Linked DNA regions of Caenorhabditis elegans. The protein of the gene in region 1 interacts with the protein of each later gene in a pairwise test. Each region holds a gene or a part of one and is shown on either strand. Other genes may lie near its edges.

Evidence for each region.
Region 2: the proteins of C33E10.10 (region 1) and rpa-2 interact in a two-hybrid assay, tested with the Caenorhabditis elegans proteins (one large-scale study listed by BioGRID).

What each region holds. Positions count from the first base shown.
Region 1 is NC_003284.9:17,298,374-17,306,647, reverse strand, and holds C33E10.10 (DeHydrogenases, Short chain), read left to right. Parts: upstream 1-4,647; 5' UTR 4,648-4,724; coding exon 4,725-4,940; intron 4,941-5,082; coding exon 5,083-5,274; 3' UTR 5,275-5,808; downstream 5,809-8,274. Other genes in the region: C33E10.1 (F-box domain-containing protein), read right to left, coding at 949-1,105, 1,151-1,218; fbxa-120 (F-box domain-containing protein), read right to left, coding at 2,819-2,995, 3,043-3,670, 3,717-3,794, 3,862-3,896.
Region 2 is NC_003279.8:4,765,583-4,773,415, reverse strand, and holds rpa-2 (Replication protein A C-terminal domain-containing protein), read right to left. Parts: upstream 3,125-7,833; 5' UTR 3,113-3,124; coding exon 3,029-3,112; intron 2,982-3,028; coding exon 2,660-2,981; intron 2,611-2,659; coding exon 2,150-2,610; 3' UTR 2,058-2,149; downstream 1-2,057. Other genes in the region: M04F3.4 (EF-hand domain-containing protein), read left to right, coding at 392-447, 1,041-1,182, 1,231-1,339, 1,409-1,538, 1,735-1,812, 1,927-1,930.

The DNA.
Region 1 (8,274 bases):
ACAACACGCAAAAACCACATAGGGACAGGCAGGCTCCTGCGTGGTTCGTAGGCGTTTTGTGCGTGGTTCAGTTTATCTGAGAGCATGGTATGTCTATATGCTTTATGTTAAAATCGATATGGTCGATCTTAATTTAACAGTTTTAGAACTTTTTTCGGAAGTCCTGCTTTAAAAATTAAACCATTCGTGTGTAATGGAACAAACGAACAATTCAAATCCGTTAATGGTCTATAACAAACGCCAAAAAGTGAATTTTTGGCGGGTAGGGGTGTAAAAGTCAATAATGCAATATTTTATTAAATAAAACGGAGAAATCATATTTCATGTATCATTCTGCTCGGGACATTAATTTCAAAGTACTCGAGCTTTGGATTGGATCCGTTGATCCAATGTCTGACAAACAAGTTGAACTGATTTATGCCAATAACAACTTCCCCAAAAACTACAATGCTGTTTGTGGAGAGAATATCATTAAGATTGTACTCATAAAAATACATCACTCGTAAGACATCGAAGTTTTGAACCAAGAACTCTTGAGTTGTGTGAGTTTTGGATTCAAATACTGGAGTACTGAGATCAATCCTGTCGCTTTTACTTGCAATCTGTCTCATAATCTTCTGATGAAACAACGAGTCTGACATTTTTCCGGGATTCATAAAGCAACAAATGTCGAGATCCTTGAACTCGTCGCAAATCGATTGAGTGCAATAGTTGTCTCTGGTTATAGTGAATTCGTCGAGTTTTGCCCGATTTAAAACATCCAGTAGGTGATCAACATACTTTCGTATTCCCATGCTCGGAATGCTCATACAAATCACTCTACCAGTTGTTGAACCTTCGATTTTCAAATGTTCTGAATTTTCAAATGTTTTTTCAAGAGTCACTCCACTATTGAAAAGTTGAATCTCAAAAAACAGGGGATCTTCGACGGGAAGACTCCGATGCATGTTAGAGAAAAAATGTGAATTTGAGTTGACCATGGCGTTGGGTGGGTTTAATTTTAATTTCCACAGAATCATCAATGTCCACTATAACCAAAAAGACAAATCGATGCAAAGACTTTGCAAGATTTTTCGTCTTTTTTGAGACAAACGAGAAATTCAATCTAAAATTGTTCAAGTTAAATGATGAAAAATGTTTAAAAACTTACATGTCCAGAAGCTGGCAGTGTTGAAGTGTACACCGGAGAGCTTTTGCAGGTAGTTGTAGAATATTCATTGCAGCAGGATGAGCAGTACAGACCAAATGACAGAGAAGGTTGGTTAAGGCAATTGTGGAGTGGACAAGTGAGGGCTAATGGGAGACAGAAAAAAAAGAGCAACTGACGTAATATTATCGGCTACTATGAAGAGGACTCTGACGCACAAAGGAGAATGGACTATTCTGAATCGATAATAGGCAGCTGACCTGTGCAGCGTTAGCACATATTTGATGTAGCACAGCGACCTAGGGCAAGAATTTGTAGCCAATAAAACTCAAAAGTGTGCGCTGGGGCGCGCTTGCATTTTTTAAGTTTTGAAGACAATTATGTCGGTTTTTCAGTGTCTTTTCAGAGAGAATGAAATGATTTTCGACGCAAAAAATCATTTAAGTGGAGTTTTTCATTATAAAATAAAAGTTTCCAGTTCGGAATATATAGATAACGCTTTTTTCGTCCATTTTCCAGACATTGAACGGATTACTGAAGTTGAGCTTATGAAGTCTAACGTTAGAGTATGTTTCTGAATAAAATCGAAAATCATACACTTCATAATCTTTGAAACCAGGATTTAACATCATAACCTGTTAAAAGTGAACGTTTATTAAATTAATACTGCGTGTTTCTTTCATTTCAATGCACATCCGATGCCATTTTGTTCAAAATAATTCTGTATTCTAATTTTTAATGATCTCTCATGTTTTAAAATTAAAAACTTAGTTTTTACAATGAATGGAGAACGTTTGATATGATAAACAATAGTGTAATAAAAACACGAGATGGTTTCTCAAATTTTTGTTCGTTGCGGACTAATTCACTTCAACAAAACTATTTTTCATATCAAAAAAGTAAATGAACAAATATAATTCCTAATAAAAAACGATAAACTCATTTTCGGCTTGTTTTCGAATTGAAAATCATAATTTCGGGTAACATTTACTACAAATTTCTCTTGATTTTCAGGAAAACGGTTCGCTGTGTGTCGTATATATGTATTTGATATAGGAAACTGGTAAAATTTTGGCGGAGTTGAGCTTCAAGTAATTGAAAAAATCTTAAAATCTGCCAATTTTTGCGATTTTTTGTGGATTTCAGTCCAAAAATTAAAAATTGAGAATTGTAAAATTGTGATAACTAGCAAAGATTCAATGTCGATAAAATACTTTACATGCTTTATCTAGTAAACTGGTAAAATTTTAGCCAATTTGAGATTGATTGAAAAATATCAATCAATGTGCCAATTTTTGAGATTTTTCGTGGATTTCGTCCAAAAATTTGAAAGTCAAATTTGAAATTGAGACGATAGGCACAGATGTGAAGTCGATAAATTGTTTTACATGTTTTATCCAGGAAACTGGTGAAATTTTAGCCATTTTTCACGAAATTCATTCTGTCTGGAAAGAAAATAACGTGTGTATTGGATACGTTTTATCTCATTCATTTATTGAGAATCAAAGCAAATAAGTTTGCATTTCAGAAGACATTAGAACAAAAAAAAAGAAAACAAGAGTAAACGTAACAAGAAACCGGTAAAGAACAGAAGAAAACAACAGGACGCATTGAAGATGAAAAGAGTCATGGTGAAAATATCATTTCCTCGAATTTCTGGGGGGACAACAATTAATTGATTGCCAAACGTCTTTCATAAATTATGACAAGAAAGCGATCGATTTTGTTCTTAATTCCATTGATATTGTGAGCAGAGAAGTTTGGATTAAAAACTCGCGCAACTTCTGGTGTCATCTCATCTTTCAAATCAATTATTCCATTTTTGAAGTGAGCGGATTTCAAGAGAATCTGCAAATAGTCACAATAAATTACACAGTTCATTATTTCGAACTCACATCTCTGATTTTAATTGCATCAGAAATTGATAATCCTGGAAAGCCAAGCCAAAAACGAGACAGATGGAACATGTTCTCAATGGGGAAGCTACGAAATGATGACATTGGACTGATAACCTCTTTCGCCTGTTTCCATTGTTCAAGCTCGAAAACTTCATGCGAACGTTCATGTTGCAACAAACTGGCATAGTCAATTTTTTGAAGGAATCCGGGTTTCAAAGTTGAAATGATAGTGATAACATCATTGAATTCCAAGTTTCCCAAAAAAACCTTTTTGGTATGAAGCATATTTTCTGGATTGAAAGTATCTCTGAACCACGTTGCAACTGCGACCGAATCTGAACCACCAAAAATGTTGAGATCATCCAATCGTTGCCGTGGATTCTTCAAAATTACGGTTAAATCGTCAAGCTTCATCATCAAGCGGGGCTTTTCGATATATTTCGTGCAGCAGTAATCACTAGAAATCAAACAACCGGAACCTTGAATTCCGTACGTAACGCAAAAGTTTCCGGTTAAATTCCGCGTAGTGAGAGATAAATCGTCGACTGCCGAGGTGACAGACTCGACTCCTGGATTTTCATCAACAATCTTTCGCAAAATCCGACAGACTTTACGAAGAGCAAGTCTGAAAGTTGTTTTTTTTATTAATGAAATTAAAACTTTGATTTTACCGATTGATTGGATTGACTCTCTTGATAATCTCAGTGAGCATTTCGGTTGGCAACTCTATAAGCGTCCGATCGTTGGAACTGGAAAATTAGTATTATGAAAAAAAGCTCATACCTAATCTTCTATTTGCTTGAAAAATAAACTAACTTCTCAATTGACACACTCGCCAATTTGTCCGTCATGTTCTGGGCGATCAGGGTCGTTTCTGTAGTTTTCTGAAAAAGTTTACGTTTTATTTGATTGAAGAAATTATTTTGCGGAATGAAGAAAATGAAGAAAAGTACTAAAGGAAACAATGGCAACCAAAATGTTCATTATTTGGATAAAACAAGAGAAAGTCCAATTTTTCAATGATCTTTTGTGGAACAATTTATATTATTAAAGCTTAAATTAACTTTTCTAACACTCTAACACGAAAAACCAACGTAAGCTTCACAAGTTCAGGAAAAACCGCGAGAAAATAAATTTCGAAATACTGATCGGCTTAAATATATATTCCAGGAAAATTGTTTCAGTTTTTGACATTTTTCGTGGATTTTGGACCAAAAAAGAAAAATTGAAATTGTGACAATTGGCACAGATTTGGTGTCGCTAAATTGTTATAAATGTTTTATCCAGTAAACTGGTGAAATCTTGGCCAATTTGGGCATCGAGTGATTGAAAAATATCCAAAAATAAGCCAATTTTTGCGAAATGTTGTTATAAGCAAATACTTTTGAAATTGATAAAATCGAGAAAATGTAAGAATTCAAAAGTTAGAAAAACGAAAATAAACAAAAAAAGCTGAAAAAAAAGAGAAAAATGGAATGCGTTCGAACAAATAAATCTCAACAACCTCTCAAGAATTTGTGGGCGTGGTCGATACGCAACCGGTGCGCGCGTTTTTTGCGCAGAGGGGGCGCGCAGTAGCTAGTAGGTGCCGAGAGTGCGACCTACATAGGTCGCTAGGTAGCATTGCGACCTAGGTAGAATTGCGACCTGCGACCTAGCGATCTGCAGCGCCAAACTAAATGTCTTTCTCGGTTTTGATTCACATGAGTTGGCGCTGTAGGTCATATTCTGCAAGTAAGCATGCACTTCAAGGATACTTTGATTGTCTTCGCGCCGAGCACAAGAACCTGCACATTTTGGTGGTCTCCGCTGGATACATCAACACCGGTTTTGGATCGAGAGCTTTGAACACCGATGGGAAAGTTGTTGGGGTAGAGGATGAAAACCAAAAGAAAGTAAGAATGCGTTTTAACAAAATGAGATTAATTTCGTTGCTACTGCTCTGTCTGAGTGGCGCATCTAACTATTTAAATAGCCTGCGACACTAGTTTCACTCTTACTCTTTCTAACAGGTTCTTCGAACTATACTGATTGCAGGGATATTCACCGGAACACTCTGCACGCATGATTTCCGATGCAATCCGTGATCGAGTGTCGGACTTTGACATGGCTCCATTTGGTGCTCGCTTTGCAGTTTTCCTCAGATATTTCTGGCCAACTCTTCTTAATTATGCCTTGTACACTTGTGGCACTAAAGACCAATGGGCGCCGAAGAATAAGAAGGAGTAATTAAAACTAAATGTGATCTAATTCCTGACACAACTGTTATTAGATGTTCATTCTCCGAATGTTCTTTAGCTAAAATTTTGGTATTAGTGTTGTGAGATGGGCTGGGAAACAATCCCATCTCCCAAATTAGTGACCTTTTGAGGATGGCTCCATGACTCTATCATGATCGCCATACCTCAAAACCTCTAATACAATTCCATTCACCCGCGTTTCCCCCGTTAACTCGTCTCCAGTACGCTTCCTTATTGGAATCCCATCCAAATGGTCTTGCCGCGCCCTTAAAGGCGCAGCTCCCCCTTTCGTATAATTATCCCTGGCCTAAAATGTAAGCCGCTCCGCTCACTCAAGTCACTCAAGTCACTCAAGTCGTTCAACACGTTCACCAACGGTCCACCACAACATCTGGCTCCACACATTCCACCATCAATGTCGGCCTCGTTGGATGTCGGCCGCTCCACTGTGAGCGGTCGTCTCTGGACCTACTGACCCTAATTACTTGTTATTCTATGAGCAATAAAGGGGTTTTGTGGCAAACAATTGTGTTATCTTATTCACACCGCTTATCTCTTCTTTCTCGATGGCACTCCGAAACCGCCAGTATCTCTCTTGTCGCTGAATATACTTGACGTCAGAGGTGTTTCCCCAACGCACTTATCTGAGCTGTCAACAATTAGGTCGGCAAATAATTATGAACGTATTTTGCCATTTTACGATTTTTTGTAAATTTTATATATGTGACTCATAGTAGGCAGTGAGTATAGGAAAGCTTATAAATTTAAGCTACTTTGGCCATCTGCGTAATATTAAGATTTGAAAAAATCGAAAAATTTTTGAAATTTTTTTTCGTGATTATCTCGATCTTCATTTCAAAGAAAAGAAACAATTAAATTCACATGTATTTAGAAGAAAGTTTGCAAAACTATTAATTACAAACAACAGTATCATTTTTTCATTTGTCGGTTTTTTTTTTCGATTTTTCGATTTTTTCATGGGAAAATCGAAAAATTGAAAATCGAAAAACAAAAAGTTTCGATTTCTCAGTTCTCAGGATTCTCAGAAAAACCAAACAATCTAATAAAATGTTCCTAAAATAAACCATAAAAATGATGTTTTAATCTAAATCCTTGATTAAAAAATAATGTGTTCCTCAAAATGGGTATTTGTCAAAAACATAGAAACCATTAAACATTAGGTTGAACTGGAAGTCTTTGTGACTGGGTTTGCTTTTTCACCGCTCACCGCAGTTGCACTTCGGTATTGCCTTGTTGCTAGGGTACACCAACGAGTGAAGGTACTTAATTTTAAACAACGCCCCATTCTTTTCCCTCTTGCCTCAGCTCAGTTAGCCAACGATGTTTCCCTGAGAATGTTTATCATACATATGCCCCTCACTATAATACAATACACAATTGGTACCAACGCTTCGAGAAGGACGGCTTTTCTCTCGAGGGTCATGAGACCCCATGAATTGTATTAATTGGATTTTGATACGTTGAAAAAAGACGTGGCAACGGATCCTTTTTAAACCACCTGTGAGCTGTCCACCGCACTTGGATCCCATCAAACAAAGATACATAGTACAGGGCTTGGAAGCTCTCGAAATGAAGAAACTTATCGGTCGATTTATACCAAGGCTGTGCGGCTGATGGAAAAATTCGGTTGTCAGCGACAGCCGAGTGTTTATTTTTTCTCGGCTGTCGGTTCACACCATACACGCCGACAGCCGAATCACTTTTTTGGCTATCGACTCACGCCGACATCCGAGTTTCAATTATTTTTTTGGCTGTCAGCCAAGAAAACAATAACTCTTTTATTTTTAAAGGCATACATATGTTGCAAGTATATATCCAAAACTATTTCCGTTTCCATTCTTGGTTACTTTGAAAAGCTAACTTTTCCCACAAATACATTAATTGTAATGAGAAAAAAAGATTTAAAAAAATAGAGATATGTCTTTAATTAATGTGAAAAATAAAACAAAAAAATCGATATCTATCTGATTATCGAAAAATAACTTTTTTATTAATTTAAAGAGTCAGTTTTAGTGAATTTGCAGATATTTTTGGCTCATTTCTAGATGAGTTCTTTTTTTTTTTAAATTCAAGTCATTTCCTGTAGATTTCGCAATTTTCAATCGCAAAGTTCAATTTTTTTTCAAAGTCTGGTATTTGGATAACTTTTACACTTTGTCGATGACAATTTTTCAAATCAAAAACAATAATAATATTTGAATTGAGCATTTTTGTTTAAAAAAGTCAATCTATGAAGAAATACAGTAAGTATACAACAAAAATTTTCAAATCGAATAAATTTGATGTTTTTAATTTGAAAAATTGTCATTAGTAAAGTGTAAAAGTTATCCAAATACCAGACTTTAAGAAAATATTGAATTTTGAAAAGTTGCGAAATCTAAAGGAAATGGCTGGTATTTTAATAAAATGAATAAAAGTAATAATTGTATTTATTTTATCATGAATACGTTCAAGAATTAATCAAAATTGAAAAAGGTCGTATTTTTTGTGTGGTTCGCATTTTGCCTTTGGTTCACTATAAAAAAATTTTGGAATGGCTCAATGGAGTTGGAATTCATTTTTTGCACTAAACAAAAATAGCATTAATTGATTTGTATATTAGCATCAAGTCTCCAACGGCTAACTCAAAAAATCAAGAAAAAAAATTTCAAAAAATTTTCGATTACTACGCAGAGGACCAAAGTATAATAGATGAAACTTATATGTTTTCATATTCTCACTGCTTACTATACATCACATATGTAAAATTTTCAAAAAATCGTGAAATTGCAAAGCACGTCAATACTTTTTTGTCGACCTAATATTTTTCAAATATATTAGCTTTTTCATAATTTCTATTTTCAAGTTTTGAACTGAAGAAAATGCTCAATTCCATTTTTTAACATTTTATATTTTCATATTACTGTATGAATTCTTTGAAAAAATGCATCTACACATATACACATATTTGAAAGTCGTCACCCCGTAA
Region 2 (7,833 bases), on another chromosome or scaffold:
TGTTTCGATTTTTCATAGTTTTTTCATGATCAGAGTTATATTCCAGCCCCTTTGAGATTCTCCAACTAGAAATATTCGATGTTTTTCAAAATATTACGAAAACTTCCTAACTATTTTCGTACATCTCAACTGTTAACATTCACTTTTTCATCACCTTATTTCACAATATTCATCATTTTCCCATCCCCCTGAAGAGAGTGAATGACTCACCACGGATAATGTGACGTCACTACTCAACAGTGTTTCTGGGCTCCGCCCACATCGATGCATCATCACCGCACACATTTTGTTGTTGTCTCACCGTCTGCGTCTCTTTTGAGTACTTCACATTCTTCTCTCATTTCATTTTATTTTTATTTTACCAATTCACACAGATTTTATCCATTTTTAGATGGCTTTTCAACAACCTAACTTGCAACAAATCTTCTCTTCTGTCGACAAGGATCGGTATGTTTTTATTAATAGTTTTAATAGTTAAATTGATATAACAATTTTAAAATTGGAGTAAATAAAATCAATAAATATGTTTCTCGTTGAAAATTTATTGTCAAAATTATGAATAAAAAAACAAAAAAAAATTTCGCTGTACCCGGTCTCGACACGACAAATTTCTGTTTTTGGAAAAATGTGTGTCCCTTTAAAGAGCACTGTAGTTTCAAACTTTTATTGCTGCGGAATTTTTATCGATTTTTCATAATTTTTTGATACAAAATATATTTATGTTTAAAAAAAATGAAACGCTCAAATTTGTATAAAATCACGAGAAAAAATATGAAAAATCGATGAACTTTGAAGCTATAGTACTCTTCAAAGGCGCGTATCTTTTAACAAAAACCAGAACTTGTCGTTTCGAGACTGGTTACCGTATTTTATGCGCAGAATATAATTTTTGTATTTTTTCAAGAGCCAAGAATCGCAAAAACAAACATTTATAAATTTAAAATTTTTATTTATATTTTTTTATTTAATATTTAATATTTAAAATTTTATTTATTATTTACATAATATTTAAAAATTAAACAAAATTTCCCAGTTTTCAGATCAGGGCAAATCAGTTCCGATGAGCTTCAAACTGCTCTCTCCAACGGAACATGGAACCCATTCAATCCGGAAACTTGCCGTTTAATGATCGGAATGTTCGACTCGAATGGAGACGGCGCAATCAATTTTCAAGAATTCCAGGTTTGAAAAAATATAAACCAGAATTTGTGAAAATAATCATATTTTCAGGCTCTGTGGAGATATATCAACGACTGGACAAACTGTTTCCGTGGTTTTGATACCGATGGTTCGGGAAATATTGATAAGAGTGAGCTGACCAATGCTCTCACACAATTTGGTTAGTTTTTAATCATAGAAAAGCGATAAGAAAATCGGAAACTCGATGACTGATCATATATTTCTTCAGGATACCGTCTCTCTCCACAATTCTACAACATCCTTATGCACAAATTCGACAGATCCCACAGTAATCGAATCAATTTCGACGATTTTATCCAACTTTGCGTCGTTCTTCAGACCCTCACTGCTGCCTTCAGGTTAGAAATCAGGGCTAAAATTGATTTAGAAATTTAGAGAAAAGCTCTTTTAAAAAATTCAAAATTTTTCAACAAAATTAAATATTACTTTAAAAATATTTTTAGATGGAACTAACTATTTTCTATGTTTCTATAGTAATTTTTGACCAAAAAATTTGGAGTATCATACTTTACAATCTGATTACTTAATTTTCAGAGACGTCGACACGGACCGCGATGGAGTCATCACCGTCGGCTACGAGCAGTTCCTGACAATGGTCTTTTCATTGAAAATGTGATTTTAAGAGTATTTAGAGAACCAACCACAATCCATTTTCGACCTAACACCTAGCACTTCTACTAGCTTCCATTCGAAAAAAAGTTAAATTCAATTTCGTTTTGTTTTCAGGTAGCTCGAAGTGTGTTCAATCGTCTGGGTTAATAATGTGATTTGCCGTTCCTCATGCTCTCTTTCCTCCTCGGATTCTTCGCATCATTAGCGTCTAATTAATTATGTTCAAATTTACTAATAAACGCTTTTAAAGTATGAATCATTCATAGTTTCGAGTATCAAAAGTGAATTTCCCAGTGGGATGAAAGAAGGATAATGAAAATAATGTTACAATCAGCAGTTAAATAGCGGAAACAGTTTCCTCGTCGACAGTGGTGTAGACCAATCCGTTCTCGACCATCTCACCGACGCACTTACGAACAATAGAAATGTTCGTTTCTTGAATTTGCTCAGCTATCCACGAAACATGTCGACCTTCGTCACGAGAACCCTCTGGCACAGCCATCAAGACGGCGGTAATGCGCTCTCTGAGCACATCTCCTTGGTTCGCTCCCGTCATCACTTTTTGCGGTTGAGCATACAATCTCTCCTTGGTGTCCGATCCTTGCGAGCTTTGATGCGATGTTTGTGACATTCTGCTCTTCGGTGGTGCCAGCATTCCTTGGAAGCCATCCGAGTCGACCGACTTCAGTTTCTCGCTCACGTTCTTTTGGAAGAACAGACGTGCAGCTTCTGCCTCGAGCTCGAAGATCGTGAAATCCTTGTCGTCTTCAACTGGAGTGATGTTGAACAGCATAATGGCTGAAATTATTTGAATTAAGATATATAATTGAAGGAAATATAAACTTACTATTGTTTCCATCGAATCCCTTGAGCTTTCCGATGGCTCGAACACGAGTTCCCTCGACAATTGAAGAATGATCGAATGTCGAACCCTCATTGTCATACTTGAGCGTACGATATTCCATCTCCGTGTTGTTTGGATCACAGAGGTCGTACGTGTACGTTGTCCCATCCTGACTGATATCCTTCACAATACCGACGGTCAACACCGTTGCGAATCGGAAAGTCCCGACGACATACTTGTCATCCTGCGCAGAAAAGTGCTCGATCAGATTGGAAATCGTGACCGGCACTGGGAGCCTCTCGCCGAGAGTTGTAGCCTTCGAGTCCTGTAAAAAATATTTATTTGAAAGTATGATTTATCTCTTATTCTTACAGGCTTTCTGTCGGTCATAAACGACGACTCTCCAGCGGCCCATCCGTTTCCTGCGTTCTCGTGCTCGACAGTCTCGTTCCACATGGTTAGTAGTTTCTGGAAAGATGAAAATAGATTAGAAATGCGAGAAAAATGAAGGAAAGAAAGGGAAGGTGAATAATTAGCGTTTATCAACAGATTCCAGAGAGACAAGATGTGTTACATATTTTAGAAACACTGAAACATAAATTTTAACTTTTTAACAGAAAAATTTAGTAAAAAACTGATATGATGTCGAAAATGGAGCTAAAATTATGCAATACTTAGTTTGAACGGCCAATTTCGCGCGTTTCTATAGAGCGCGCTTACTTCACTAGGTTTCAAAACAAAATATTCCGCGAACACAGGGAAAACCATTAAAAAGAAAAATAAATCATAAAGAATTATTTACTCAGGAATTCAGTGTACATGTATTTTTGGATAATGTGAAAAATCTGAAAGTGAAGGCCAGAAAATTTATATGAATCTAACACTAAAGCACTGGCAAGATGAAAATATAAGCGCAGGAAGTCTTAATATCACAAAAAGACAAGCAACGATAAAGTGAATGAACTAAATTTTATGAAAAAAGAAGAAAAATGAGAGTGACAGCTCACTTTTATAGTCCTTGCGTAGGAGAATCACGTGTATTCAGCTCGACCCACGGCCCGGCGGGGGGTACATGGACGAGGATTCTCTACCGTATTCCAATTTGGCTGACTGCGTGCTCAACGTTGAATACTCAGTGTAAACTTTCGTACACCGTTGCGTACTGCACAGCGCGCATTTTAATTGACGACATTTCGCGAAAATTAACAGAAGATTTTTTTCGGAATTATAGAGCTAAAATTGAAAAAACTATCAGATTTTCATCGAATTTGTGAAGAATCGTAAGTATGAAGATTTGTTCTTCACGATATTCAAGGAAAATCGATATTTGGTTTTTCACAGACAAATTCTATCGCATTTCACTCGACGAGACCCGAAGAACTCGGGGGATGTCCAACTGGGGGGATTCCCAACTCGGGGGATTGGCCACGCCCACAGAACCGTGCCTTACAATACGCCCATTTCTGCAACCTCCGCACGGTTTTGAATGATGATTTTCTTCATTGTTTTTTGGGGGAGAAAAATCAATTTCGACTCTAAAAACTTCAATTTGAATTGTTTTTCTTCGTTTTTTCAGCCATTTTCGCAAAAAAAAGTATTTTTCAACCGTGACTTGTTAATTCGCCCTCCTTAATTCGTGTATTCCTTTTGTTAATCTCTTTCCCTCTCATATTTTATTAATTTTTTTAATTTCTAGACTTCGTCGAATCGAGGGACCATCAAAATTGCACGGATGAAACAAGGATGTGCTTCTCCAGTCCACCTACGTGAGTATTATATTCTCAAATTGTAGAAAGTAGGAAAAAAAATTGATTTAAGAACAAAAATTGAAATAGTTTAACAAAAAATTAATGAAATATCTTCGGATCGAACATAGATGGACTTATACAGGCATTGAAATCGTTGAAACAGCTATAATTTGCTGTCACTGCTCTTTTGAAGTCGGAATTTCTGTATAGTGGCGGGCGATCAGTTCTTCTTCGCAATAACCATGTTCTTTTCGATTGTACGTCTCTGTGAACGTTAAAACTCCAAACCGTAGACTTCTCAATTGAATTGTGTAGAATTTTGTAATTGGTATGGTGGAAAAGACGCTAGAAATTTGATTTTTGTTCACTTTTCCGTATCCATTAAGAGAAAAGTGTACCTGTAGCATTCATTTAAGCCAAAGGCCTCTAAAAACTAAGCGAATCTGATAATAGACGAGATAAAATCTTTTTTCATTTATATATCAGCGATGTCATTATGAAAGTTCTAATTTAAATTTTTCAGATCCGCCCGAGCTGCTCATCCTCCAAATTCTTCCGTTTTCATGACAAATTATTGTTTTTTTTGTTGAAATTATGTAATTCATTAAATGTAATATTATCCTTATCTGTAAATAATTATCATGATCAATAAAATATCGCTCTTAATGTTCAATGAATAGCTTGCAAACCAATTTGTACAATTATTTCATTGAACAATTTCCGCCGGCTCTGAAAAACATTTCATGGCAATTTTTCAGGTTATCTTATTCGAATTTTTTAAATAGAACTCGTTCTACGTTCTTTACTTCGTCTCCTCTCGTGTAAATTGTTCTTTCCTTGCAAATAATCGATTTTTACGCGTCCCCTTTCCGTGTAAATTGTTGTTTCACTGCGAAAAATCGATTTTTTAAAAATATTTTTCTTTTATTCCGCGAAAACGACTCAAAAACCGAAAAAAACAATTCAAATTGAACTTTTTAGAGTCGAAATTGATTTTTCTCCCCCAAAAAACGATGAAAAAAATCATCATTCAAAACCGTGCGGAGGTTGCAGAAATGGGCGTATTGTAAGGCACGGTTCTGTGGGCGTGGCCAATCCCCCGAGTTGGGAATCCCCCAGTTGGACATCCCCCGAGTTCTTCGGGTCTCCACTCGACGGCAGTTGCTGATGAGCTTTTTTGATCGACGTTAGGGCGATAGAAGTTTGTTGATAAAATGAATGAATAATATAGAGAGCCGTGCCGCCAAACCGCAAGTGTCACAATTTACGTGCAAATGTGATATTTTAACGCAAAACGCAATAATTATTAAGTCCCAAATTTTTCCTGCGATTTTCTGCTAAATTCCTAGTTCTGAATTCGGGTTAAACAGTCTGATATATTCATGATTATAACAATAACAAAAACGAACATAATAATAAAAATGGAGAACGCAGAAAACCAATAAATTGCAAAACAACAACTGATATTAGAATTGACGACGACCACGGAAACCGCCTCAATCTCCACCTTGCCCACCACGGAAGCCACCACCTCCGTCACGTCCTCTGAATCCTCCTCGGTCGTCACTTCTACGGAAGCCACCACGAGCTTCTCTTCTTCCTCTGAATCCACCTCGGAAAACACCACGACTATCCTCATATCTTGGACGCTTCGAGGCTTCAGTTGTTCCCCATTCCTCGTTGGCACGCTTCAGATTTCTGAAAATATATCAAATTAGAAGCATTAAATTATTGAAATCTGTACCTCTCCCGATTCATCACAATCTCTCTATCCTTCTCCGTCTGATTTTCAACTTCTTCAACTTGTCCAGTAGTAGCACCTTGCTTACGAGTAGCATTCTCTCGAATTTCCTTCACCTCTGTCTCCTCAGCATCCTGTTGCCCCTTGACAATCGTACGTCTTCGAATAACCCGTTTTTCGCTTTCCTACACACGGTGCTTCTTTAAGTGCTTCTTCTTGTCCATATAAACTCTCAGTCTTAACAGTTCGTCTAGAGTCTTCGTAGTATGCTATAGAGAACTTCTCCCTCATCGATTCCTTCTTCAATTTCGACGAGTTCCAGGGTCACTCGGGGTTCGATGGAGCCAATGTCGGGATGGTTTCGGTTATTTGAAGCGATCTCCTCAGTAGAATGTGGTGTGAACCGGCGTGTCATCTGGAAATCATTAAAAATTAGGAGCGAATATTTCGAAAAAAAAAAATTTTCCCAAAAATGTGTCGATTTTCCACTGAAATCGAACAAATAAATATGAGATACGCGAGCTTGAGTCGCAATTCTTACTAATTCAGAACAAGCATGTTTTTCTTTATATTTGAGTGCAGTTTCAAAAAAAATAAGCGTCAAATTTTTGAGAAAACAATTTTTTGTTCAAAAATGATCGAAAAAGTGTTGATTTTTCGCTAAAATCGAAAAAATAAATATGAAATACGCGAGCTTGGGTCTCAAATGTTACTTTTTCTGGTTAATCATGCTTTTCTTCATATTTGAGTGCAGTTTCAAAAAAATTAAGCGTCAAATTTTTCAGAAAACAATTTTTTTGTTCAAAAATGATCGAAAATGTGTTGAGTTTTCGCTAAAATCGAAAAAATAAATATGAAATACGCGAGCTTGAGTCTCAAATCTTTCTAATTCCGAACAAACATGTTTTTCTCCATATATTATCGAACAAACATGTTTTTCTCCATACCGAATGCAGACATGCATTCGCTACGACGGCACTTGCTGGACCTGGAAAACTAGACTGAAGTAATGCTCTTATATTGGAGAGGTGGGAACCAGAAGATCCTTACAATATTTAGTAAAACAACTCACTTTTAGACGTTTTCCGCCGTTTCGCGGCTCACGCGGTCGATTTTTGCGGCGATTTAAGTCCTTTTACTGAAAATATTATTTTAAATTCAATTATTAACGAAGAAAACAAGAAAAAACGACGAAAAAACATAAAAAAACATAAAAAAACACGAAAAAACAAATAATCGATTTTTACGCGTCCCCTTTCCGTGTAAATTGTTGTTTCACTGCGAAAAATCGATTTTTTTGAAATATTTTACTTTTATTCCGCGAAAACGACTCAAAAACCGAAAAAAACAATTCAAATTGAAGTTTTTAGAGTCGAAATTGATTTTTCTCCCCCAAAAAACAATGAAGAAAATCATCATTCAAAACCGTGCGGAGGTTGCAGAAATGGGCGTATTGTAAGGCACGGTTCTGTGGGCGGGGCCAATCCCCCTAGTTGGTAATCCCCCCAATTGGACATCCCCCGAGTTCTTCGGGTCTCTGAAATTCCTCTTGGGGAATTCAAATATTTTTTCCCGTCTTTTTTGAAAATTTTCGAGGCGTTGGTCGAGCTGAATACACGTGAGAATTGGCGGGCAAAAATTAAAATTCAATATTACGCGCTGTGCATTGGGGCGCGTCTGCATTTAAT